Canis lupus familiaris: one gene and its partners. The protein of the gene in region 5 interacts with the protein of the main gene of each other region in a pairwise test. Links are inferred from orthologs where the notes say so. Each region holds a gene or a part of one and is shown on either strand. Other genes may lie near its edges.

Region 1 (3,500 bases), on a different chromosome or scaffold from region 5:
AGAGGTGGGAAGAGGGAATAAAACTGGTTTGTATACTTTAGAAAGAAAAAAAAGCACTGAATTTTTTGCCTATTAAAAAGAGACAGAGTCCTTTCCGCCCCCGGACGCCGCTGAGTAAGCATCGTTAGTCTCCCCTCCCACCACCATCATGTCTAAGTCAGAGTCTCCCAAAGAGCCTGAGCAGCTGCAGAAGCTCTTCATCAGAGGTTTGAGCTTTGAAACAACCGATGAGAGTCTGAGGAGCCATTCTGAGCAATGGGGAACGATTACGGACTGTGTGGTAATGAGAGATCCAAACACCAGTGCTCCAGAGGCTTTCGGTTTGTCACATATGCCACCCTGGAGGAGGTGGATGCAGCCATGAATGCAAGGCCACACAAGGTGGATGGAAGAGTTGTGGAACCAAAGAGGGCTGTCTCAAGAGATTCTCAAAGACCTGGTGCCCACGTAACTGTGAAAAAGATTTCTATTGGTGGCAGTAGAGAAGACACTGAAGAACATCATCTAAGATTATTTTAAACAGTATGGGAAAATTGAAGTGATTGAGATCATGACTGACCGAGGCAGTGGCAACAACAGAGGTTTTGCTTTTGTGACATTGGATAATCATGACTCTGTACACAAGACTGTCACTCAAAAACACCATATTGTGAATGGCCACAACTGTGAAGGAAAGCCCTATCGAAGCAAGAGATGGCTAGTGCTTCATCCAGCCAAAGAGGCCGAAGTGGTTCTGGAAACTTCAGTGGTGGCCGTGAAGGTGGTTTTGGTAGGAATGACAACTTTGGTCGTGGAGGGAACTTCAGTGGCTTCGGTGGCAGTCGAGGTGGTGGTGGATACGGTGGCAGTGGGAATGGCTATAACGGATTTGGTAATGACAGAAGCAACTTCGGAGGTGGCAGAAGCTATAATGATTTTGGCAATTACAACAATCAATCCTCAAATTTTGGACCCATGAAAGGAGGAAATTTTGGAGGCAGAAGCTCTGGCCCTTATGGTGGTGGAGGCCAATACTTTGCCAAACCACGAAACCAAGGTGGCTATCTATGCCTGTTCCAGCAGCAACAGCTATGGCAGTGGTAGAAGGTTTTAATTACTGCCAGGAAACAAAGCTTAGCAAGGGAGGAGAGCCAGAGAAGTGACAGGGAGCTACAGTTTACAGCACATTTGTGAACTCAGCCGAGCACAGCAGTGGCAGGGCCTGGTTGCTACAAAGAAGACACGTTTTAGACATACTTGTGGGTATGGGCAAAAAACTTGAGGATCGTATTTGTGACTAATTGCATAACACATTATCTTAGTTTCTGTTCTAAAGTGTAAAGAGTTTTAATGTAGTTTTCTTTTTTCGCACCCATGCTGTTGATTGCTAAATGTAATAGTCTGATCATGACGCTGAATAAATGTGTCTTAAAAAAAAAAAAAAAGAGCGGCTCCTGGGTAACTCAGGTCATGATCCCAGGGTCCTGGGATGGAGCCTCACATGGGATCCCTGCTCAGGAGCATGCTGCCCCCTCTCCCTCTGCCCCTCCCCTTGCACATGTCTCTCTCAAATAAATAAATAAAAAATCTTTAAAAAAAATAATGATTCTGTAATGCTATTTAACATTTAAAACAAAAAGAGACTGAACTCTCTGCCAGAAAATCCAATCTCAAGGGGAAGAGGAGGCAGGCATGCAGGAGTGGAATGCCATATTCCAGTCTAACTCACCAAGTAGACATCACAGAGGCTGTGGAGCCAGAAGTGGTGGAGGGCATGGGTGATGAGTGGCAGCTCCCGAGCAAGGAAGGCTCGCTCACACTCCTGGGCAGTGTGGGCCAGACGGCTCAGGATCCAGGCGTCCGTGGGGGATGAGGGGGATAGCTGCGGGGGGAAGACGGCTTCAGGACAGGATCACTCCTCCTCCTCCTCCTCCAAATGTCATCTTCAACCCTCAGAGAACTAATGATTCTGCCTCCCAAGCCTCTTTTCTTATTCTCTTACCTCCTCTGCAGGCTGCGGTACAAATCCCTCTCCTAAGGCATTGAGGATAAAACGCAGGGCATTCCAGATTTTGTTGCAGAAATGCCGGGAACTCAAGACCTCAGAGACGGACAAGTGTACATCGCCCCCTGGTAGGGAGTGGGAGGAGGAGTGTGCACATCGGTGGCAGGAGCACAGGGAGCCCTTGACCCTGCCCCACCCCTCTACAGGGGTGCCTACAATGCCAGCCCCTCCCTTGCCCAGGCTTACCCAAGGCCCTGTGGGAGCACAGGGCAAATCGCAGGGCATCTGTCCCACACTCAGGGATCCCATGAGGGAAGTCCTTCCTCTGCAACCAGAGGGATAAGAGGGGTGGCAGATGCCTACACAGCTGCAGGGACAGAAGCCTGGGCTGCAAAGGAAACCCAGCAGCCGCCAGCTTGAGGCTGAGAGAGGCAGATGCTGGGGACTCACCTGTGCCGCAGCCGCAATCGCCAGCTCTGTGGAGTCCAAGTTCCCGTCCTTCAGCTTTTCCTGCAGCACCTGGGATGGGTAAGCACTTCAGTGGCCTCGGTCAAAGACCCTGCCCCTTCAAGGGTCCTACCCGCTCACTCTCCCTCCCAGCCGGCTCCTCTGCTCAGGCTCCCTTCTTCTGCCCCACAAACCCCATCCTTCGCCAGACTCTTCATCCTGACCTGCAGTTCCACCCCACTGATGATGTCTCGTGGGTCCAATACATTCCCCAGGGACTTGCTCATCTTCCGGCCCTGCCCGTCCCGAACCATGGAATGAAGAAGCACCTGGGGGGCACAGAGGGAGTTGGTAGAGGGGTTAGGGGAGCCTATCCTAGGAGGTGCCCAGGGGCTCTCTGGCCTCCATGTGTCAGGGGTTAGGACAGGAAATGAATCAGGAAAAAGGAATTGGGACCACAGACAATAGCACATTAGGGGTTCGAACAGAGACCAAGATTTAGGGAAAACTGGGGAGTCAAAGATGGGCTAGGCACCTAAGGGCCATTACCTTGGTGAAGGGGAGCTGCCCTGTGAGCTGTGTCCCCAACATGACCATGCGGCCCACCCAGAACAACAGGAGATCACTGCCTGTTTCCAAAAGTGACAGGGGGTAGAAACGAGCAAGGTCTGGGGTCTAGGAGGAAAAAGAGAAGCAGTGAGAAGCCTAAGCCCTATACCTGCAGCTCTTGAGGCTCACTGCAGGGGTGGGGGTAGGGGGGCGCTACTGCCTCCTTCATCTCCTTCATCATCCCCATCTTCACCCTCTTCCTCTCAACCCGCCTCACCTCTTGGGGCCAGCCCAAGGCAGCAAAGGGGAAAAGAGCCGAAGAGAACCATGTGTCCAGGACATCAGGATCTGGGAAACAGAGTGGGGAATGGAGACAGTTAACTGGAACGTCGAGCGTACTGCTGTGCACCTTTCCAGCCCAACTCCAGGCAGAAAGACCACGGTCAGGCCCTAACCCCATTCCCAACCTCCCTGACCTCACCTCCTCCACCCCAGAGTCTGCTCCCCCTGAGGCCCAACT
Region 2 (3,954 bases), on a different chromosome or scaffold from region 5:
TACCTACTGACCCCTGGTTTGGGGCTTGGCCCAAAGTTAGGTCCAGAGGTACAAAAATATGAGATCCATTGTCATAGCTGTCTGCTTATTCATCATGCAGATTACCTTGTCTGTAAACTCAATGGACTCTGACAGAGAGAACTCTGAAGTCAACCCCAGCCTGCCTCCCCCCATTCCCCATGGGCTTCCTGCACCTGACTGGGGTGAAGGGAGGGGCTGAGGGAAGGACAGGGGGCGTGGGAACCAGGCCTTCTTTAACGGTAGTTCTGAGAAGTCATCCAAACCCTTTGAAAGCATTTGCTCCCCAGACTGAGATCCTCCCCTGAGAGGCCAGGAAAGGTAACTAAGGTCAATTAATTAGTGTTCTGCATGAAGGAAGCAGGAGCCCGGGGACTCTGACCTGGGGCAGGGCTTTTGGTGATTTTGCAAGGGCAGCTTCACCTCACTAGAATTGACTTTCATTATCTTTCATCCTTCCGACAAATGATGATGATGATAGTAATGGTCATAGTTTCCATGTATCCTGCCCTTCCTAAGTGACAGGCACTGGGCTAAGTGCTTTAACACATTTTCACATTTAACCCACGTGACCATGGTAAAGAGAGAGGTGTAAGAATCAGAGAGTCAGCTTGCCATGGGTCCTGTAGTTGGTTGGTGGCAGAGATGGAAATTGGACTGGGTCTTTGTAATCCTAAATCCTGTGTGCACACACTGTGTATGCAACAAAGGAGAACCCATCTGGAAGAGCCTGGAGCTGTGCAGAGTTTACCCAAGAAATGGACAGAACTGCTTCTCTCCTTGTCTGTAGAAGGCTACCTTCCAGCACCACGAGAACCGGGCTGGTTTACAAGCCATAGTCCATCTCATCTGTAAGCTGGTCGGTCATTCAGCATCTACACCAACAGCAACTATTCAACTAGAGGTTTGGGGGTGGGCTCTTGAGTCAGAGTTCTGGGTTCAAATTCAGACTGCCACTAGCTTAGGGACCTTGGGAAAGTGAGTCAATCTTTCTGAACCCCGGCCTCCTGCTGTGGAATGGGAGTGCTTCTCCCCTCTCTGGCTTGGGGGAGGACTAAAAGAGGCCATGTGGGCAACAAGCCTGCCCAAAGGAAGGGTGCAGAGTGTTCTCACTGGTCTCATCACTGACTCCCTTTAATCTGCCATTTTCCCATAAGCACTTGCTACTTTCATTTTTTTTTTTTTTTCAACACTCTTACTGAGCCAGGAGGTCCCCCGGGGCCTGTCAGTGCAAATAAACTGTCTTTAAGTCATACGGCATGTCAGGCAAGAGGTAAAGAGAAGGAGAGGAGAGAACCGGCTTCGGAAGTCAGGAGGCTGATGCTCAGCTTTGCTACATCCAAGCCATGTGACCTTGGACAGTCACCTTGCCTCCCTGCGCTGCTGGTTCTTCATCTATGAAAGAGGAATAATAATACTTGTCTCATAAGGTGCTTACGAGGATTAATGGGAAAAACAACAACAACAAAAAAAACAGGTGCTCAATTGTTGTTGAGTTTCCCTCCCCACTCTTCCCTTGATCTGGGAATCTATGTTCATGGTCCTGAAACCGCTACACAATTTAGGAAAGTTCTAAAAAGTCTCAGTTGTCGGGGCATCTGGGTGGCTCAGTCCTTAAACATCTGCCTTTGGCTTGGGTCGTGGTCCTGGGGTCCTGGGGTCCTGGAATCGAGTCCCCGTCGGGCTCCCCACGGGGAGCCTGCTTCTCCCTCTGCCTATGTCCCTGACTCTCTCTGTGTGTCCTTCATGAATAAATAAATAAATAAAATATTTTAAATAATAATAATAATAATAATAATAATAATAAAGCACAGCTGTCATCTTTTTGCTGGTAGACAGCTCCCAGCAGTCACGTTGTCCATCCCCCTGCCTCTGTGCCTGACCCAGCTTAGTCTGATGTCTGTCCACTCTCGCTCAAATATCAGGGAAAGGAATCTCCCCCTGTCAAGTTCATGACACTGTCCAGGAAGTTCAGAAGGCCCACCTAGAGTCGGCCTGCAGATGCAGTAATGATGCCACTATTTGTTTGGGGACAAGTCTGGATCTGAGCAGGACCTGGGAGGGAGACAAAGATAGAGTGAGGAGCGCTAACGGGATAGAGGTGTGAGGCTCCAGGAGAGGCAGTGGGGCACGGTAGGGCTGGGTGGCACGGGGTCAGGGCTGAAGTTTGAGGGGAACAGAATGAAGCCGAGGCCTGGGGTGGAGGATTTCCCATCCGCACCCGGGCCGAGCACCTGTCAGGGTGGCTCCCGCAGTCCTGCCTTGGAGGTGGGCTCTGGGCCTCTCGGGGCGGTGGTGGGAGGCAAGGGTGTCGGGGCCTGTGCCCACTCCGCCTACCTGCACATAATTGTCCACGCAGTAGTCCGCGACCCGCAGCAGGGAGCTGTGGTTGCCCCGCAGAGCCTCCCGGCCCGTGGGGATCTCGAACTCCTGTAGCTGCTGCAGCTCTGCCATGGCCCCCAGCCTCTGGCTGGCTCCCCAGGGAGCCCGCTGATTTTGTGCCTCACCCAGCCGTTGATTGGTCGCTCTGCCTTACCCCCGCCTCACTGCTTTTGGTTTCCTCTCCGTGAGAGACCCAAACCTGCTTGCAAAGGGCAGGCAGGCTCATTCCGGGACAAGAGGAAGTCAGTCCCTGCCCCGAGGGCCTGTGCCTCTCTGCCCCCGGCCCAGAGGAAGGGGGAAGCCAGGGGCGCCTCTGGGGGCCCAGCCCCCCAATCCCTCCCAGCAGAGGAAGCCAAGGTCGGGGCGCTGTGATTGCTCATGGGCCTGGAAAGGAAACTGTTGGGGGGGGTTGGGGGGGGGAGACAGAGGAGGAAGGGGACTGGCCTGCTCTGGGTGGGGGGTGGGGGTGGATTTTCCACTCATGGAAGGGGAGGAAAGGGCAGAGGGTGGGGGCTTCCTTGGGAAGCTCAGGGATGAGTCACCAAGGGCCTGGGGAGTGGAAGGTGGGTAGGATGTGGAGACCAGTCATGCTGGGGGCTGTAGGGCGGCGCAGAAACAATGGAAACCAGCCAATTCAGCAGCAAGAGGAATCAGCTCAGACACCAGGAAGACATCCAGAGGTCCCCTGAGAAGTGTAACCAAGCCTCTGAAGGGTTCCATGTAAAGAAGCCCTAGTCTACAAGCTCTGTGCCTGATGGAGGTAAGACCAGCTGTAGCATGTGGGATTCCGATTAGACAATAGGAAGGAATTGGCTTTGAGAAACACCACATTCAAGTTTCTGATTAACTCGTTGGTTTTAGGAAGCAGCAGTGCATGGAGCACCAAGCTGTTCTCAAAAGGTATGTGCTCTATGTCCTGTATTCATAGGCAGTTGGCCTAGAGACTTCCAGGCTCTTGTCCTGATCCTAAAGTCTTAGCACTCCTGGCTGTGAGTGGGACTCAGACCCCAGAGCAAGGCAGTCAGGATGGACTCCAGGCCTCCTTTCAGCCAGACAAAAAGAGGATCCTTTATTGACCATATTGATTATCTTAAGCATTTGCTTCTCGAGAGGGTCCCCTTGTCATGGGACAGGTGTCAGCCTGAGCAAGAGCTCAGTATCTATTAAACAGCACAGCCCTTGGATGGTCCTGGAAGGAGACCAAGAGAAATTTCAGGATGCAGGCCCTGTGCTCAGCAACTGGTGAGGGAGACCCACACTCAAGGCTCAGAAGGAGGCATGGAAGCCAAGAAGCATGGACATGGGCATTAGAGGTGGCCATGGCCCCACGTGTTGATGGCACAGCATCCTAAGTGAGGAGTCCGTTTTTATTGAGTAAGCAAAGGAAGACTGAGCTTAGGAGAACCTTGCACGGTGTAATCGTGGGGCTCCGATGGGAGACACAATGGCTTCTTGGGTGAGGGAAGTTAGGAGCTGGTCCAGGACTTGAGTCACTGAGAAGGCCAATCTCAGAGCTGACTCAGAGGTAACGGAGGGGAGGGCTTAGAAGAGAAG
Region 3 (4,148 bases), on a different chromosome or scaffold from region 5:
ATAAATAAAAATTAAAAAAAAAAAAAGAAAAGAGAACCAGATACAAAAACCCAGCTACATGGAGAGGGAGAAAAGCCTACTAATGTGGCTAACTTTTTTTTTTTTTTTTTTTTTAATTTACGATAGTCACACAGAGAGAGAGAGGCAGAGACACAGGCAGAGGGAGAAGCAGGCTCCATGCACCGGGAGCCCGATGTGGGATTCGATCCCGGGTCTCCAGGATCGCGCCCTGGGCCAAAGACAGGCGCCAAACCGCTGCGCCACCCAGGGATCCCTAATGTGGCTAACTTTAAGGAGTCTGAGACAGATGAAAAATCCAGAAACACCAAGAGGCAAGCTTTTCAAAAAGGACAACACACCCAGTTTCAAGTACACCAAATGGCAAACCAGGTAAAGAATGGAAGTGCCCCCTCTATTTGGCAATTAGGTCACTGCTTTGGGGTAGAAGTCGGAGGAGAAAAATGAAGTAAAAGTTAAAGGAAAAAGCAAACGAGTACAGTTACACTCTTTGGAAAAACTTGTATAATAAATGGAGACAGGGTGGTAGCTGTTAAAGTAAACAGAGAACAGTGTCTCGTGTTTGTTTTTATAAAAGAATGTCTGAAAAAAAAGCAGAGCTCCGGGACTATCTACTATTACTGCTGAGGGATGAGGGCAGCACTGCATGTGGCAGTGGAGCTCCTCCAACAAGCTTATCTATCCTTTTCCCCAGCAAAGAACACTCACCTGGATGGGGCATCCCACTTGGTGGGAATGGGTGAGGATGCGAGTGTCCATGTCCAGGATGTCCAGCCCCTGGGGTTCCTGCTGATGGTGGACCGTGTCCTCCAGCACCGGGAGGCATAGGTGGCGGGGGCATGGCTGGGGGTATCCCGGGTGGAAGGGCTCCAGGAGGCGGCACCGGGGGTGGGAAGGACCCAGGAGGAGGCATGCCTATAGAGGAAATGAAAGACAAGTTAACGATAGTAAGGAGAGAATGTCTTTAGAAAGCCCGTTCAATCTGGCCTCCTCAGGCAGGATAAGTTCTCTTCCCTTCCTCCCAGCTCTCTAAAATCAGAAGCAATACTAGATAACTAGGAACAACTTCAGCCTCTTCAACTCAACAACTTTCTCCCCACAACTGTCACCCCTCACTCTCTTTCTCATCACCTACTGACTCCATGTCCCCCTTTATCAAGTTCTTTTCTCCTCCCCTTGCCCCCGCTCACCACCACACCCCAAGCCCAAGACAAAAATACTTTGAATAAAAGCTTTACCTGGTGGCGGGAGCCCAGACCCCAATGATGATACGACAGGATTGGGGGCTGAAGGCGGAGGGGGTGCATCTGCAAACAGCTGATGAGGGCGGTCAGCCTGGGAGAGTGGGTTCTGGGCTGCTAGAAGTCGTTCAGCTGCTGAGCCGTGGCGCTCCCCTTTCGAGTCCTTCTTGAAGGCATAGGACACAGTAATGGGGCGATTACAGAGATACTGCCCATTCATGGCCTCAATAGCTGCATCCGAAGCGTCAAATGAAGCAAAATTAATAAAGGCATAACCTTTGGAGTTGCCTGTATCAGGGTCCCGCATAATCTTAGGGGTTTGTAAGATGACCCCGAAGGCGCTGAAAGTATCATAAAGCAGCTTCTCATCAATTTCTGGGTCCAGATTGCCAATGAAAATGTTGGCCCCCACGTCCAGGTTCTTGTTGTGAGCCGATGCCTTGTTCACTCGTATTGGCTTCCCATATAGTTTGATCATGTTCATGATCTTAATGGCATAGTCAGCATCTTCCTCACTCAGGAATTCCACAAAGCCATAGCCTGGGAAGTAGAAAAGCAGAGATTAACTTAAGTGAAGTGATTCAATTTCGTGTGTAACTCATGCACCTTCCAAAGCACAAAGAACATGAAATAACCACCTCACTTCAACTGGGAATGGTTCCAGAAGCAAACATTGAATGACACTTAAAAGGAAGAATCTACAGGTGATTCCAAAACGGCTATGAATACTGCCTATGAATACTGCCGGAACCCTCCAGGAGCAGCTTGTCCCCTCAATGCATAAACACGCCTCTTGTGATGTACTCACCTTGGTGCTGACCTGTGACTCTATCCTTTGGCATGTGGGTGTTGACTACTGGCCCTGCCTGGAGAAAAAGCTCCCACAGCAGGGGTTCGCTAACCTTCTCATCCAGTCCCCCGACGTAGACAGTGGCATCTAAGAGAAATGAGCAGATTATGGCAGGGATGAGACAACGACGGGAAAGAAGGAAGTGACAGGCGGGGGAACTGGGAGTGGAGATGGGATATAGGAACAAAAAAGGAAAAAGACGTGAGAGTAAGCCCTTACATCTCTCTCATTCCAGAACTAAAGAACCTTCTTAAGTCTAACTGAAGGTTCTGCTGCAAATTCTCTGTGAATTGCTTTGTTTTTGGTTTTCGTTTGGGTTTTTGTTTTGTTTTGTTTTTTTGAATGGGAAGGCGCAGGAGATTGGACAGAGCATCACAACCACAGGCCTCAGCCTGCACCCGGCCACCCCACCCCCAGCCGGCACGGGGGCCGGGTTCGCGCCCTCCGGGGGGATCCGATCTCCTGCCCCGGCGAAAACACGGCTGGCCTTCCTCGAGGCCTCCCAGCCTCCCTGGCCTCATCCCCTCCAACTACCCTGGTTCCGCTCGGAGATCGGGCCGGCCGCCATGGCGAAAGAGCTCCCGCCGTCTCCAGGCAGCGATCCCGCCCTCTGACCTCAGTCAGTACTTCCACTTCCGGGGCGAAGGTAGTCACGAGGGCGGTGGGCGGGGCCTGATGGGGGAGGAGCCGGAAGAGGCCCCGGCCATCTTAGGAGTTGCGGAGACTTGATGCGGCTTGTGGGGCCGCGTTCTCCGGTCCGTGGTTCTGCGCGGATTTGCCGCTGCTAGCGGTCAAAGCGATGAGGGCCGAACGGAAATGCCCAGACCCTCTTAAGGCAGTGCTGGACGTTAAAGGATCACAGTACTCCTAAAAATGTAAACTCAAAAGCTAAAAGAACAAAACTTTATTTAGAAATATTTTGTTGGCAAACTATCCTTTTGTTCCCCGGAGAAGGGTGTGCTGAGGAAACCCTCCAACCCAAGGATTCGGCTGCCTTAGGGTGCGGAGGCAGCCCTCCACCGTGGCCCGCGGCTTCTGGGGAGAGGATTGCGGAGTGTCTGAGCTGGAGTGGCGTCGGAGCTCACATGATCCTGTTGCATGGGGGAGATGGAAACCTGAGGCTCAGAGATGATGTGTGCCCAGAGCTGAGGGTACCTGACATTGCAGCCCAGGGGCCTCAGTTTCAACCGCCAGAATACCCCGGGCCCACCAACCATGTCTTTGCATGCTCTTTGCCCCATCTTACGAAACGATTAGTGTGGACAGCCTGACCTATCTCCATATTTCCTGAACAATAATATGGTGGGTCCCTTCTTCTCCCGGTTTATCATCGCTTTTTTACTTAGGATCTTTTATTCAGACACCAGAGATAATGCCAGCAACTGTACTTTAATGAACTCGTTAAATAGAAATGTCACTACAAAATATACAATTGGGAGAGACAGGATGTGTCCCATACCCACTAGCATACCCATAGAAAACCAGAGGGAAGAAACAGAAATTGGAATTAAGCAGCAAGAGGAGGTGAGAATGAGTTCTGTAGGCCATCTCCTTTGAACTGATGAACAGCATCTCTCATCTCACAGCTTATCGGCTGGGTATCCAGAGGGATGGAATTGCCCTGAAAAGAACAAAGGTAATCGTATTCTGGATTGCTTTTGTTTCTTAATTCCTCAAATCATGAGAAACATATCTCGAGAATGAAACAGGACAGGGCAAGAGTTGGAGAAGGTTAGCACCACCCATCTGCAACAGAAAGGTCAGTGAGCTTGTTGAGGGCTGGAGTGTCAAAAGCTGAGACAGCAAGACCAAGATAAGAAAAATTGGAGGATTAGACAGAACCTTCCCTCACCCCGGACCCCCTCTGCCATGCCCATAAAAAAGACAACAATTTCAACGGGACTGGGAAAGAATGGTATTTGGATCTCTTTTCTTGGAGTGATCCTCAGGAGATACTCTTGGTGTCCATTTCCTTAAAAGCTCCTGAAGATGGGATAGCTCATCCTGGAGGCCAGAGATTGTGGGAGCTGAGAGGCCTT
Region 4 (3,500 bases), on a different chromosome or scaffold from region 5:
GTTTTCCTTCCTCTGATTGACAGTTGTGTTTTTCAGTTTATGCTAGAAATTCTTTCATATTCATTATAACACATAAACCTGAGTAGAAGCAAGAGAAGTTAGCTTTAATTTCCATTTTGTGACTTAGGGAGATTGTTACTTGCCTAAGAATCCAAATTCCAATGGAAAATCTAGTTGTTCTATTCAAATTTTTATCATAATAATTCAATTTTTCTCACTGTCACATAGTGGCCCTCTGAAGACTTAACTTTGACTAGGAATTTAGATTCCACATGTATGCATCTCCTTTTCATATTAATCTGAAAAACTGGAAATAAAGATTTATAGGATAAAAAAATCTTCACGATATAAAATTTCAATTCTTTCAAAATCCAATTATATCTCAAGATTTGTTTGTTTGTTTTTTCCCCTATGACACTATAGTTAGATCATTTCGGTAACGGCCTCCAGCAAATGTCACCTTCCTTCCATATATCCATTCCTTAAATGGTCTCCTTCTACATTGACACTGTGCTTGGTCATATGACTTGCTTTAGACAATGAGTCATCAGTAAATATGAGATAACGAGAGTCCTTGAAAGCCTTGGTCCATTGGAGTTTTTCTTCTATTCCTGACAATGCTTCTATCCCCATTTGAAAAGTCTCAGAGAGCCTATTAGAAGAAAATGAAACCACATACAACAGAGACAAATGTCCCAGCTGAGACTATTTAAACCAACCAGCTCTTCAAACCCAAACCCGCCACGTGACTACAGCTCTATGGGAGATTTAGGTAAGGTAAGCAGCTTAACCATCCAACTGAGCCCAGTCAAAATCCCCGACCCACAAAACTGTGAGCAAATTGAATGTCGGTTATTAGTTGAAACCACTATGATTTTTGAATGTTTGTTACATAGTCAAGGCTAACTGATAACAAAATTGAAAAGGGACCTTTGATAAACAAAAACAAAGATTAGAATTGTATGTGTGTGTATTTTGCTTAAAATTACATATCATCCTTTTCCATAAATGACAACTCAGGAAGACATATCCAAAATACCTAAAAAATTGCCAGACCAAATTTATAGAATTGCTTTTCTAAAAGAAATTATTTTAAACCATAAGGGAAACTTCTGCTTTATAATCAGATAATCACAGGTAACCAAAGCCATCCCCAGAATAGCAAGCACAGAATCTTCACATTCCCTCTTGGCTAAGAGTATAGTACTGCATCCCATTATTTCTATAGCTTGGAAACAAGTCTTAGCTTGTTTCCTTTTTGTACCATAGAAAACATGGTTGCATTTCCTAGAATTCACTGTCTATGGATAAGAACATTAAAATATGTAATTCTTTCCCTCCCTTCTTTTTTTATCTGCTCCCAGTTTAAAAAAAATGAAAATAAAACAGATGTCCAATAATGTAGATTTTGGATTCTCCTTTCCAGCATGCCAAATGTTGTACACTTATGGAGAGGAGTTTGTCTGTGAAGTTCAAGGGAAAGAAAATGTTGTGCTTCACAACTTAGGCACTAGTCATAATATTTAATAAAATATAAACTGCCAATAAATAAAACCACATAAAAGTGTCTCTCTCTATATTCCCAATCCCCAGAAATACCCTACAAAAGCTGAAATCCAGAAATTAACAGAAGGAAAGCAGATGATTTAAGAAACTGGATAAAATAACTTGCTCTCCTAAGATAGTATTCATACGTCCACACCCTGTTGGTATTTCTTTGGTTCTGATGGGATCCCTGGAGGAGGTGCATACAGTGAAAGGAAATGAGACTCTAGTCCTAGGAGTGCCAATCATAACTGCACTGTCCATAAAGATGTTTGGATTTGCCTTTCAGGAATGTTTTCCTAAAGATTAGCAACTGTTAACCATCAGTAAGCTAGATTCTCCCAGGGCAAATCAGAATCCATAAAAAGAATGCACTGGGAGCACTACTGGAGCAAGTAAAATCCAAGAAAGGACCTTTTAGGTTTTATCAACTGGAGTCCACAGATCGTTCATAATTGCAAAGTGTTCTCTAAATGAGTCAATGTCAGAAATTTAAATTTTTGAGACCAATATCAGTTCAAAAATATTTGGGAAATATTTACGAAAGACCTATGGGCCCTTGCTCCCATCATTTCCCAGCCCCCCTTGAACTTAAGTGGCACCACGGATGATTTCCGGACCTTGGAGTATAAATGGAAGTGACATGGGTCATTTCCGGGTGAAAACATTTAAAGGTCAGTGCATGAACCTCCACCTCTTTCTTACCTCCTGTGGTTACCAAGGACACCACATGTTGAGATGCCAGAGAGTCAGCCTGGGTCCGTGAGTGACTGATTGTTTATAATGCTGAACTTGTAAAGTTAGTATGGAGAGTGAGCAAATAGTGAACTTTTTTGTTATGTCATGGAGGTCCGGGGGTTAATGTGTTACAGCAACATAGCAAACCCTGTCCTGAGCAATAGAGGAAACTAATATGGGGTTGCTGGCTTTCTATTATACCAAAATAAGGAGATTTTAAAATATAAGCAAAAAAGAATTGCTCACTATATGCCATCATTATATACAAGAAATACTATTTTAAACCAAAATATATAGGAAGGACACAAATACAGAATAAAGAATGATACCTTAAACTGAATAAATGTAGTTTTCCTTAAAAACACTGCTATCTTATCCTTAATTTTGCCATTTTGCCGTGCCAAAACTTCATCATGGAACAGAACACCTATCTTACAAATGGCATTTAAGAACCACAGATCTAGATATTTCAAAAATGGCGAGAGAAGATTGTTGACTCAACACAATTAAAAATACCATATCACAACAATGTCCAACTTTACCTGTCTTTCAGTGAGATCCAGATTCACTGCTATCTCATATCGCCTCAGTCTGGTCAGATAATTATGATGGGCAAATTCTGCTTCAAGTTCTCTGATTTGCTCTTTGGTAAAAGCTGTCCTTTCCTTCCTGGGTTTGCTATTGACTTCTGACTTGTAATTTCCTTCCTGGGAATCTGGGGGGAATGTAAGAGAGAATTAAATTGACTTTATTCATTCAAATGCATACAATCATATCATTCATACCAGAAGCATTTACTGAATAACTACTTTTTCAGGTACTATGTTAGATATGGAGAAACAGAGAGCAAAGACAGAAGACTGATCTCACAACAGGATAAGATACATTTCTTACTTTTTCGATCTGCTCTCCTGTGACTCAGCCTAATTGGCAAAGTGTCTAATATTCTTTCAAAATATGAACAAAAAATGTATTTGCTCTTAATATGATAAAAAGATAAATAAATAAACCACCTCTAGAAAACAATTTCGGATGTAAAATTGCGTTTAATAAGTTGTTTAATATGTATACTTGGGATCTAGGTATGATTGAACTCTTTAATTCCTAAGAAAAAAAGTGTTGACTTAATATGTGAATATTTAAGCAATTTGAATGTTTAGCAACTGGACCATAAAAGTCAGTTCAAGGTCAGACAAAGCATACATAAAAGTGTGTGT
Region 5 (3,500 bases):
TATATGTATAATATAATATATATATATATATGGTGTGGCTGCGTGTGTGTGTGTAAAGTGTACGGTAGCTCCCCTTCCCCAAAGATCAGCTGTTTTCCTTAATCATCTGTATTAGTGTCAACAAATGGCTACGGATACATATTACTTTGAGAATTAAATACATAATTGTGAAATTGAAACAAGCCAAAGGGCGAGAGGAAAAAGCACTATGCGGATGGCACATCTGGGGGTAAATGACCACAACGTCTGTCTTTCTGAGTCACGGGTCTCGCTTCTGCAGACTGACTTTCAAGGAAATCCTTTTATTGCAAGCATAGCCCCGAAGGCACTGGACTTTCCCCACTACTCTCTCATCTGGTGGTGCCGGTGCTGCTACCAGCAGGCGCGTCCACTCCCTGGACAGTCTGGGAGCCAGGTGAGGGCAGAGGGCACAGAGCGCGGCTGCCAGGCCCAGGGCCGGGGGCCTCTGCAGAGCTCCCGCCCCCGCTTTCCGAGCGGTCCTGGAGTTCTTAGTTGACCACGGCAGCCGCAGTGCGTTCAAGCTGTGCCCGATGTCTTTTTAACCTTTTTAACGAGGGGTTGTGTCTGCACGAACCATGTGAACAGGCTAAGGCTGTTCTCAGCGGAGGAGCAGGAATGAAGTGAACCAACCTCCCCTCTTCCACCTGCCGTTCTCTAAGCCCGGGCGGGAGTGGGGGGCGGGCCGGAAAGTGGGTGTCAGGGCCCGGCCTGGCAAAGGGGAGGCGCGCGGCAAACAGACCGCCCCGACGCCCAGGTCAACGAGGCAAAGGAAGCCAAGGACCGACGAGGCGCCGGTCGGTGGCAGCGAGGCCGCTGCAGGAGGGCCCGGGGCCCAGCTGAGCGCGGCTTCCTCCCGGATCGCGGCTCCGGCTCCGGCTCCGGGGAGCGAGTGTGGCACCGAGGCCCGCAGGCGGCAGGGGCCGGGGCCGTCACTGCAGCGCTCGGACGAGGTAGAGCTTCTCCCCGTGCTCACTGGTGAAGATGGGCGCCTTTTTGTAGTGTTCCACCAACTCGTCCATGGTGTGAAACCGCCGCTGCCCGATGCAGTAGACATTGTCCACGAGCTGCACCTTGAAATGTTTGTTCTTCCCTGATGCTTTCAGAGACACGGAGAAGTCACTGGGCTGGGGAAGGAGAGAGAACACGAGTCAGCAGGGCCGCGCAGGGCACGCGGGGAAGTGCACGGACGCGCACACTCGCCCGAGGCCGCCCCAGGCTCCGCGTGTCCTGCATCCAAGAAAAATTGCCTCTTGCTTAGGACAGCTTCTGTGCCCCATGTATCTTAGTTATTCGAACACTGGGGACTCCACGGCATGTAGGATACTGGTGTTAACCTGATGCTGAAGAAACTTAAAGTTTTAAATTTCCCAACCTACTCCTGATCAACTGGTAGTTTTAAAAAAGTGATTTGCATATAGGCAGCAGCTAGAAATTTCCCTTGTTCTACTAGAAATGAAGCCATCAAAAATTTCCTAACTCTAAGCTATTTAAAAATAAATACTTTAAGAGCAGTTGAAAACTCTGGCTGCATGTTAAGCATGGTTTGAAATATCCCAGGGGGGGCAGCTGAACCATGGTTTAAGCACAGATTCTGTTGAGTAGTGTTTGAATTTGTGATTACGTCCATGCCTACTTATATTTGAATAAACTTTAATATCATTATTTTTATTAAAATTGGTCCTGCTCCTTCTGAGGCACTGACGAGCCAGCAGAGTTGATGCGGAAGTGGAAGGAGGCTGGCCCCACTCAGTGGCTCCAGAAGAAAAGCCAACCGCACGCAGTGGCTCTTCAGGGTGTGCCACCAGGCCCCTGCCTGACAGTTCTAATCAATGAGACAGAAAGTGTGTCCCACCTCCAGTTCCATTCTCACTCCTGTTCCTGTTGTTCTTTGAACCATCTTGCCCCTCACCTTGGATGACCATTCCTGCAAGGCTCAGCTGAAAGGTTTTCCACCTGAAGAAGCCACCTCATCCTCTCTTTCAATCAAGATAAGTTCTTCCCCTCCCTGGCTTGCCATATTGCATGAGGCTAACAGCTTCCAGTGGCAGGAGCAGAGTGTAGTCTAGTAACTGCTCTGTAAAAATACTTTACACGTATGTCCTATCCCTTCACTATGCATTAGGCCAGCCAGACCACATCCTCTCCACTGCTATATTCCACAGACAGCCGTACAGATGGTGGGAGCCCACTACAGTTCTTAACTGAATTCATAAAGCAGGTTCAGCACTTCTCAACATCCAGCAACTTCCTGCTGCTGAGGACCCATCCAGCTTTGCGTCCTGCCCATGGGTACAAAATTAACAAGGATTTCAGCCACTGTCTATAGGCTGACTTTACAAACATTTAATCCAAAGTGTGCAAATCTCATAAAACAAGTAAAAATTCCATAAAACCAATGACATCCCAGGGAAATGGGAATCTGAGGACATTTAACTCTGTAAAAGCACTGTGGGGCTCATCCCCACCAGTCATTGCTGCCATGCAAGAATCAAGAGACAACTAAGAGACAACTGTATTCAGTTTGTATTTATGTATCCCTCTGTCCCAAACAGACCAAAGAGAACCAAATCTTTGAGGGAAAAGCCTCCATCTTATATCCATGCTAACCCCAGGACCTGATGCCCTGGAGGAGACCCTGGAAGCGCTGGTGGGATGAACTTTCAGGGAGACACAGAAAGATTGATCTCTGATTCAACCTCAGGCTACATATGATTTTCAGAATCATGGCCACAAGAGGGTCAAGGGGTGGGGAGGAGGACATGGAACTTAAAATTATTTCCTCCACTAGACTTCTCAGAAACACATCATCACAAACCCTAATGTCACAGATGACCTGCCCTAATAACATAATGTTCTAAACAGCACAAAACATCATTTTGGGTAATTTTAAGTAATCATGTGACTGCTCAATTCTCAAATCATGACTGTTTTCACAGGACTGAACAAGATGGATATAACCTAACCTTGGGATCCTCCATATTATTATCCAAGTTGGTTGCTGTGTATGGCTCTGAAAAAAGAACCAGGTTAAACAGGTACTGCTTGACAGGTCCTCCACACAGAAGCAAGGCCTAGAGCACTGGCATCACTGTTGCTGTCACAACAGTTACTGGTCCTAGTGCATGAGGACACCTCAACCATGTGTAATCGTACATAGAAGTTATGAACATTCAACTCTCTCCTGAGGGCTTCAGGTTTTCCTTAAAACAGTGTTTAGTTTCAAGCTTCTATTACATTTTATAAATACATAAATTCTATGCTAGAAGCTTGTGCCTTTTAGATAAAGACAGAAGGCGATCTGATCTCACTGTTCTAGTTTAGCACAAGCCAGGCACTGTGCTAGTTTTATAGAGACTTTAATCAATTCACAGATTAAGCATCATAGTGGAGGTAGTATGTGAGTCAGGGTAAGTACATGATATACCCAATTTTAATTAAGCCAAATGATCAAAAGATGACTTTCTGAACAGGGAAATGTG
Region 6 (3,182 bases), on a different chromosome or scaffold from region 5:
AGGCAGAATGGCTTTACTACCTTTTCTCTTAACCATAAGCCATTGCTTCTCTTTAGTCAACTCCCTGGGCATTACCACATGGACAGCCAGGCTCCTTAAAAACAATATTACTTAAAAAGATTTACAGTATTTCCCTTCATCTGGATGCTCTTCCTCTATTTTCTATCCTGATGAATACCACTATTATTCATCCAGTAAGCAGAATTATTAAATGTCAGGCATTATTCTAAGGATTTTAAATGTATTAACTCATTTAATCTTTTACTAAACCCCAGGAGTTGGATTATATCCCTATTAAAAATGAAGAAAATGATGTAAAAAGAGCTGAAATAACTTGTCCAAAATCACATAGTTAATAAATTGCAGACTTCTAAGATTTTGGCCTTTCTTCTGTTCCTCAAGTCCAGATTTCTGAGTATATGTGAATATAAATCAGGGGTTCTGTGCTCTGCTGTCAGTCTGTTTCTCCAGGGTTATCTGTTCTACTGTCCCAGAAATTAGAGTGTTGTCACTTTTCAGAGCATGCCAAGCCATGCTGTCATCTTTGCCTTTTGCCTTTATTTTAGCTGTTCATGCGATTTAAACAAACATACATAAACAAAATGTTCTTTCCCCTCCACTTTCTGCCTGAAAAATATGTATCTTTCAAGACTAAGTGCAAGGATTATTTCAAATCTGAAACCTTTCTTGCCTTTCCTTACCCTCTTCTTCAGGTGTTATTTACTAACTTTTTTTTATTATGCCCTTCTCATGTTGTTAGATAGTGTTTTCATTATGGCACTATAATATTTTATTTATATATTCATTATTTTTCTTTACTTTCTATAAGCCTCTCATAGTTATGCCATAATTATCTTCATGGTTCCAGCATCTAGGGCATTTTAATACATACCTGTTAAATGAATGCAGATGAATAATGATTGAAGTCTTATAAGGCCCATGACATTTTCTAGATTTGACAGGGTAACCTGGTTCACCTTTCTCTAATTTAAAGTTCATTTAGTGTGTGGGGGGTCCATAACACAATACCACAGATTGGGTGGTTTAAACAACATAAATTTATTTTCTTCTGATTTTGGAGGCTAGAAGTCCAAGATCAAGGTAAGTCAGATTTGGCTTCTCAGGTTTGGGGTTTTCCCTTGCTGCCTTCTCACTCTGTCCTCACACGGCCTTTATTCTGTGTGTTCATATCCTTAGTATCTCTTCATCTTCTTATAAGGACACCACTAACAATGGATTAGGGCCCATCTGTACAATATCATTGAAGCTTAATTACCTCTGAAAGACCCTATCTCCAAATATAGTAACATTCTAAGATACTGGAGTTTAGGACTTCAACATGAACTTGGGGGTTGGAGGTAGGCACACAGTTCAATCCGTAACAGAATCCTAGAAGAAACTTGAATTTTGTGAGACTTAAGTTCTGCAAATCTTTTTTTTTTTTTTTTTTAAGATTTTATTTATTTAAAAGAAAGGGAGAGAGAAAACAAGCTGGAGGAGGAACAGAGAGAGAGAAGCAGGCTCCCTGCTGAACAGGGAGACCCAGTGCAGGGCTGGATTCTAGGCCCTCTGGGATCATGAGCTGAGTCAATGGCAGGCACCTAACCAACTGAGCCACCCAAGGGTCCCCCAAAATTCTGAAACATTTTAGCATAGCCTAGCTTTGAGGCCTCTTTGGGACTCTCAAGCAGGGTTTATGAGAATTCTGTTACAGCCAATAGAAATCTTAGAAGTATTAGCCCAATTGGAATATCATTGAAAATATTATGGACATTATTGATATAATAAAATTTTTGCCATAGGTGGAATTCTAATTTTTTCTCAATTGTATGTCTGTTTTAAAAGCATCTATTTAACTAATGGTAATTGTTAAAACTATCTGAGTAATTGTTCCACTTTTAGTCATTTTAAAAGTATCTCACCCTATTACTTTCCTTTTTTTCTTTTTAGGGCTCAAGAAACATATAAAAAACACTGTGAAGAAAAATTTGTTACTGACATGATCGCCTTTCAAAAAGCTTGTGAACAATTTCAAGATGCTAAAACAAAAGTTGCAATTATGAAAAAGAATTAGTCTTTCAAGTTCCCTGAAGAGTGACAAAATGAACCAATGCCACGTTACATCCGTGGTCATTTTGAATTATGGCTAATACGCTTAGTTAAAGGACTTTGAAATAATACTATGAAAGAAGAAATACTCCATGTAACTGGATGGATTTGTATATAAAGCTTCTGAAATATAGAGAATAATTAAAGTGTTTCTTTTGTTGTTCATAACGTAAATCAAGTTAACTTGGCACCCCCAAAGGTTCCTTATATATCCAGATGTCCAAAGAACAATTAAAACTTATTTCATTTATTGCAGGAAATAATGCAAAGGCATTATTTATATTGTTTAATATCCCAAGGATGGCAATCCTAAAGCAATTTTCAGTTTCTCTGGCAATCTTAGTGTAGTAATATCTGCCCCAGCTGCTGACTTTTATTAAGACACTGTGTACTTTGATTAGTTTCATTGCCTACTTTCATGTATTTAATTATATTTCTGTTTATTTTGTTAAAACAATTTCTGAATTTCTTATTTCAAAATAAGAGTTTTAACATTATATCAGTGATTCATATTCTTATAAGAATTCAGAAAATGTGAAATATAAAAGAGAAATTAAATATTCCTTTTGACTTCCTTGGAGATTGTTAGATTTTCATATATTTACTATTGATGTATTTGCCTTTTGCATACATTTGAGGGAAGAGAGGAGAGACAGAAAGAAGACACACAATTGTATAATTGTTATTATAAAGTATACAGAAATAGTATATATATTGATTTTTTCTCTTTAATACATATTCATAGTTTAAAATTAGGAAAATAGAGATAAAAAAGATATAAAATTCCTTTGTAAAGTGTAAGTTTATTTTCAGTAGTCTTTTCATTTATCTAGAGAAATAAATGCCTATGATTATGACATGCTCACTTGATACAGTGTAACTAATGCCATTCAAAATCTTTAATACTCATAAGTTATATATGGGCTAGTTTTTAAGTGTTTTTAAAATTCTATGATTATTAGTCTGTGGCAAATTTTCAAAAAGTAAGTATTTTACAATAGCAATTATTCAGTTGTGCTTCTATGCTGGATCGCTAAAAGAATGCTTATAGTGTTTTCCTAATTTTGGTAAAA
Region 7 (3,500 bases), on a different chromosome or scaffold from region 5:
CAGAATCTTGCACAGGGTATCAATTGATGGGCCCTAGTTAAGAGCCTCTGCCTTAGAGGTCTGGTAGGTTCTACTTACACCATCTCAGCATCATCTCATTCCATGCCATGCCCCACACATTTGCACACTCCTCCTCACCTGCTCTGAGCCTGTGCACAGTATAGGTATTAGCTATGGTACCAATCTGTGACCTAGTTATATTGATCCAAGATTTGTGGGAAATGATTGCTTTTCATTGTTGTTCCAGAGTGTTTCCATTGGATAGCCATGACCCTGAGGATTAATGGCTTCCTGGACAGCACAGGTCTTACTTGGTGTTCAAAAGATGACCATTAAGTGGACAGCCCATGCTTGACCCCACCTGAGGAGAGGGGGCCTCCTTTCCTCGCAGCCACCAAAGCCAGCAGTGCAGGAAGTCTGGAGGCAAATCTTCCAGAAATCTACTGGTTAAGAGTAGACTTCCCAGCCTTGGGCAACATCCTGTCTCAGACTTTTTGTTCTTCTTCTCCACAGTCCTCTTGTTGGCATCCTACCCTTGCTGCCTACCGGGTAATTGACTTTTTCCCGGCAGGTCGTCTTTCATGATTTCCTGAGTCACTCTCTTCAGCTTCTATTTATTTGACATTCAGAGCCATTTCCTATTTGGTAATGTTTGGGGCTTTCATGGGGTGGAACATGCCCATCAGTTCTCCTTCCTTGTGTTTTTATTCAGTGATGTCCTTTGTCCCATAGATTCTGGCTGTGACTCAGTCACTGACACAGAGACCGAGGACGAGAAGGCCCCTTCCTGCTTGAAGCAGCAGAGCCTGCCACTGCAGACTTCACCTGGGAACCTGATGGTGGTGCAGCCAGACCGCATTCGCTGTGGGGTAGGCACTCCTGGGGCTGGTGGATCAGTGTCAGAACACGGCCTTTTCAATGGATGCATTTGTTGCAGTAAAGGGGTGTAATCTCAGCCTTCCCTTGGGGATTTCATTGTCGATTAGCTGCTCTGGGAATCCCAGTACCTGAGCCTTGAGCACACCTCACTCCTTTAGGTAAGAGAGAAGCGAGCTCAGGAAAGTATGTGTCATCCATTTAAGACTTCATCTTTGTTTTTTATTTTTTTATTTTTTATTTTTATTTTTTTAAATTTATTTATGATAGTCATATAGAGGGAGAGAGAGAGGCAGAGACATAGGCAGAGGGAGAAGCAGGCTCCATGCACCTGGAGCCTGACGTGGGACCCAATCCCGGGTCTCCAGGATCGCGCCCTGGGCCAAAGGCAGGCGCCAAACCGCTGCACCACCCAGGAATCCCCATCTTTGTTTTTTAAAGATTATTAATTTATTTATGAGAGAGAGAGAGAAAGAGAGAGAGTAGAGTGAGTGAGAACACGGGTAGGGTAGGAGGGGCAGATGGAGAGGGAAAAGCAGACCTCTTACTGAGTGGAGAGCCCAACATGGGGCTTGATTCCAGGACCCTGAGATTATGACCTGAGCTTAAGGCATATGCTTAACCAACTGAGCCACCCAGGTGCCCCCTATCTAAGATTTTAAGTTCATAGATCAGAAACAGAGCATGTGGCAAACATGAGCATTACCAACCCTGGAGGTAGAGGCCTGGGTCTGTTCCTGCCAGCCTAGTGCTGAGAGGAAGTAGATAGAGGGGCATTTTGAGAGCTTGCTTCTCCATCAGTTGACCACTGCTGTACCTCAAATGAATGCCTTGAAGTTTGCTGGCTGAAACTCACCAATATTGGTTGTTAATTTTAGATAATTTTAAATATTTTTTTTTTAATTTTTATTTATTTATGATAGTCACAGAGAGAGAAAGAGAGGCAGAGACACAGGCAGAGAGAAGCAGGCTCCATGCACCAGGAGCCCGACGTGGGAATCGATCCCGGGTCTCCAGGATCGCGCCCTGGGCCAAAGGCAGGCGCCAAACCGCTGCGCCACCCAGGGATCCCAATTTTAGATAATTTTAAAGTTAAAAGCCAAAGCATAATGTGACTAACATTTTCAGGATGAGACCTATGTTAACAGGTGACTTGAATGTGATGGCCCAATTGATGGGCCACCATCATTTAAATCCTACCATAGAATTGGTAGATTTTCATTATCTTTCCTTTCCTGATGAAAAAAAATGTGTGATATTAGTTCAGAACAGCAAAACCCTTCCCTGTGGATACAAGCCCTATGCTGTTTGCCCCTATGGTGTCTGTGAGACAAGGGGTATGGGAGCCTTGGCAATGGGAAGTACTAGTACCTTGCACCTGTGCGTGGTTTCACATGCAGCCTGAGGCCACAAGGCATTGGGCAAGGACTCCCTCCATGGGGATTGCAGACAGCTGCTTTGGGATAGATCGAGCTCATAGATATGGTTGGTTTAGATTGTACAGTGTTTTAAAAATTAGGCATGAAAATCTATTCCCATCTTCGTTTTTGTTTTTGTTTTTTTTAAAGATTGTGTTTATTTATTCATGAGAGACACAGACACAGACACACACACACACACACACACACACAGAGGCAGAGACACAGGCAGAGGGAGAAGTAGGCTCCATGCAGGGAGCCTGATGTGGGACTTGATCCCAGGACTCCAGGATCATGCCCTGGGCTGAAGGCAGGCACTAAGCCGCTGAACCACCCAGGGGTCCCATCCCAGTTTCCCTTGAATCAGAATCTGATAATACCAGGCCTGAGGTGAGTGGCTGGGCCTAGCAACCCATTAGATGGGACATGAATTCCCTAGTTCATTGCTCCCATCACTCCCTGTTCTTATTTTCAGCCCACTTCATGCCCTCTCTTCATTGGTTAGGCCTTTGTGGGCATTTTAGTTTCCAGTCTCTCCATATGCCTTCCTGTCTTCCCCACATTCCTCTCATCCTAAGACCAGACTGGTGGGCACCGGTGGGTAGGGGCATTTGGAAACGAAGAATAGTACTCTAAACATTGCCTTTCTGATTCTCCAGACTTTCATTCTTTCTCCTGTCCTGGCTTCCAGATTCTCCCTGTGGCCTTCTCTAGGTCTCTGGATCCTGGGGCAGCCAGACTGGGGTTGGGTCCTATTGTCAATAGAGAGGACACATTCATTCTCTCTGACTCCCCATGCTGCCTGTGAGAAGGAGCAGGTGCGACAGGCCCGGGCCTGCAGCCGGAGTCAGGTCAGCCAAATACACATTCACATTTAACATCTTCCTCACCTGTTGTGAAATGGTGGCCCTTGTCGTGAAGGCCTACTATGAGGTCTTTATAAAAGAATTATAGGATGAACATTTGGGGATTAGCACTGACCAGAAGGGCTGCTCTTTGGACAACCTGTCATTACCTGTTCAAGTCTTAAGAGGCTCATCTTCTACTTAACCAGCACAATAAAATAAGATAATTGTATGTGGCAGACCTGGCAAAAAATCTTAAAGCCAGGTGAAATAGCTATTCAGATTATTCATGCCTGGGCAAAATCAGTCCTCCAATAAGGTATTTTGCCCATTCTAAAACAGCATGGGAAGCAGAACCCGA

What was found.
Region 1: the proteins of NCK2 (region 5) and VARS2 interact in binary tests that used the Homo sapiens proteins (3 or more experiments, as listed by UniProt). The two-hybrid records come from large-scale screens. The link is inferred for Canis lupus familiaris from reciprocal best matches to the Homo sapiens genes NCK2 and VARS2.
Region 2: the proteins of NCK2 (region 5) and ABI3 interact in binary tests that used the Homo sapiens proteins (3 or more experiments, as listed by UniProt). The two-hybrid records come from large-scale screens. The link is inferred for Canis lupus familiaris from reciprocal best matches to the Homo sapiens genes NCK2 and ABI3.
Region 3: the proteins of NCK2 (region 5) and SF3B4 interact in binary tests that used the Homo sapiens proteins (3 or more experiments, as listed by UniProt). The two-hybrid records come from large-scale screens. The link is inferred for Canis lupus familiaris from reciprocal best matches to the Homo sapiens genes NCK2 and SF3B4.
Region 4: the proteins of NCK2 (region 5) and MEOX2 interact in binary tests that used the Homo sapiens proteins (3 or more experiments, as listed by UniProt). The two-hybrid records come from large-scale screens. The link is inferred for Canis lupus familiaris from reciprocal best matches to the Homo sapiens genes NCK2 and MEOX2.
Region 6: the proteins of NCK2 (region 5) and LRRIQ3 interact in binary tests that used the Homo sapiens proteins (3 or more experiments, as listed by UniProt). The two-hybrid records come from large-scale screens. The link is inferred for Canis lupus familiaris from reciprocal best matches to the Homo sapiens genes NCK2 and LRRIQ3.
Region 7: the proteins of NCK2 (region 5) and PIK3AP1 interact in binary tests that used the Homo sapiens proteins (3 or more experiments, as listed by UniProt). The two-hybrid records come from large-scale screens. The link is inferred for Canis lupus familiaris from reciprocal best matches to the Homo sapiens genes NCK2 and PIK3AP1.

Annotation. Positions count from the first base shown.
Region 1 is NC_049233.1:828,461-831,960, reverse strand, and holds part of VARS2 (valine--tRNA ligase, mitochondrial), read right to left. Parts: intron 3,329-3,500; coding exon 3,258-3,328; intron 3,107-3,257; coding exon 2,981-3,106; intron 2,761-2,980; coding exon 2,656-2,760; intron 2,504-2,655; coding exon 2,435-2,503; intron 2,352-2,434; coding exon 2,231-2,351; intron 2,110-2,230; coding exon 1,982-2,109; intron 1,862-1,981; coding exon 1,709-1,861; intron 1-1,708. UniProt on the Homo sapiens protein: Catalyzes the attachment of valine to tRNA(Val) in a two-step reaction: valine is first activated by ATP to form Val-AMP and then transferred to the acceptor end of tRNA(Val).
Region 2 is NC_049230.1:25,325,778-25,329,731, reverse strand, and holds the start of ABI3 (ABI gene family member 3), read right to left. Parts: upstream 2,801-3,954; 5' UTR 2,473-2,800; coding exon 2,356-2,472; intron 1-2,355. UniProt on the Homo sapiens protein: May inhibit tumor metastasis. In vitro, reduces cell motility.
Region 3 is NC_049238.1:59,867,874-59,872,021, forward strand, and holds the start of SF3B4 (splicing factor 3B subunit 4), read right to left. Parts: upstream 2,801-4,148; 5' UTR 2,678-2,800; coding exon 2,644-2,677; intron 2,197-2,643; coding exon 2,068-2,196; intron 1,800-2,067; coding exon 1,257-1,799; intron 934-1,256; coding exon 727-933; intron 1-726. Other genes in the region: MTMR11 (myotubularin-related protein 11), read right to left, coding at 4,003-4,148. UniProt on the Homo sapiens protein: Component of the 17S U2 SnRNP complex of the spliceosome, a large ribonucleoprotein complex that removes introns from transcribed pre-mRNAs.
Region 4 is NC_049235.1:30,321,203-30,324,702, forward strand, and holds part of MEOX2 (homeobox protein MOX-2), read right to left. Parts: intron 2,999-3,500; coding exon 2,826-2,998; intron 1-2,825. UniProt on the Homo sapiens protein: Mesodermal transcription factor that plays a key role in somitogenesis and somitogenesis and limb muscle differentiation. Required during limb development for normal appendicular muscle formation and for the normal regulation of myogenic genes.
Region 5 is NC_049231.1:38,637,029-38,640,528, forward strand, and holds part of NCK2 (cytoplasmic protein NCK2), read right to left. Parts: intron 1,146-3,500; coding exon 951-1,145; 3' UTR 1-950. UniProt on the Homo sapiens protein: Adapter protein which associates with tyrosine-phosphorylated growth factor receptors or their cellular substrates. Maintains low levels of EIF2S1 phosphorylation by promoting its dephosphorylation by PP1.
Region 6 is NC_049227.1:72,837,958-72,841,139, forward strand, and holds the end of LRRIQ3 (leucine-rich repeat and IQ domain-containing protein 3), read left to right. Parts: intron 1-1,950; coding exon 1,951-2,074; 3' UTR 2,075-2,682; downstream 2,683-3,182.
Region 7 is NC_049249.1:10,216,540-10,220,039, reverse strand, and holds part of PIK3AP1 (phosphoinositide 3-kinase adapter protein 1), read left to right. Parts: intron 1-732; coding exon 733-869; intron 870-3,500. UniProt on the Homo sapiens protein: Signaling adapter that contributes to B-cell development by linking B-cell receptor (BCR) signaling to the phosphoinositide 3-kinase (PI3K)-Akt signaling pathway.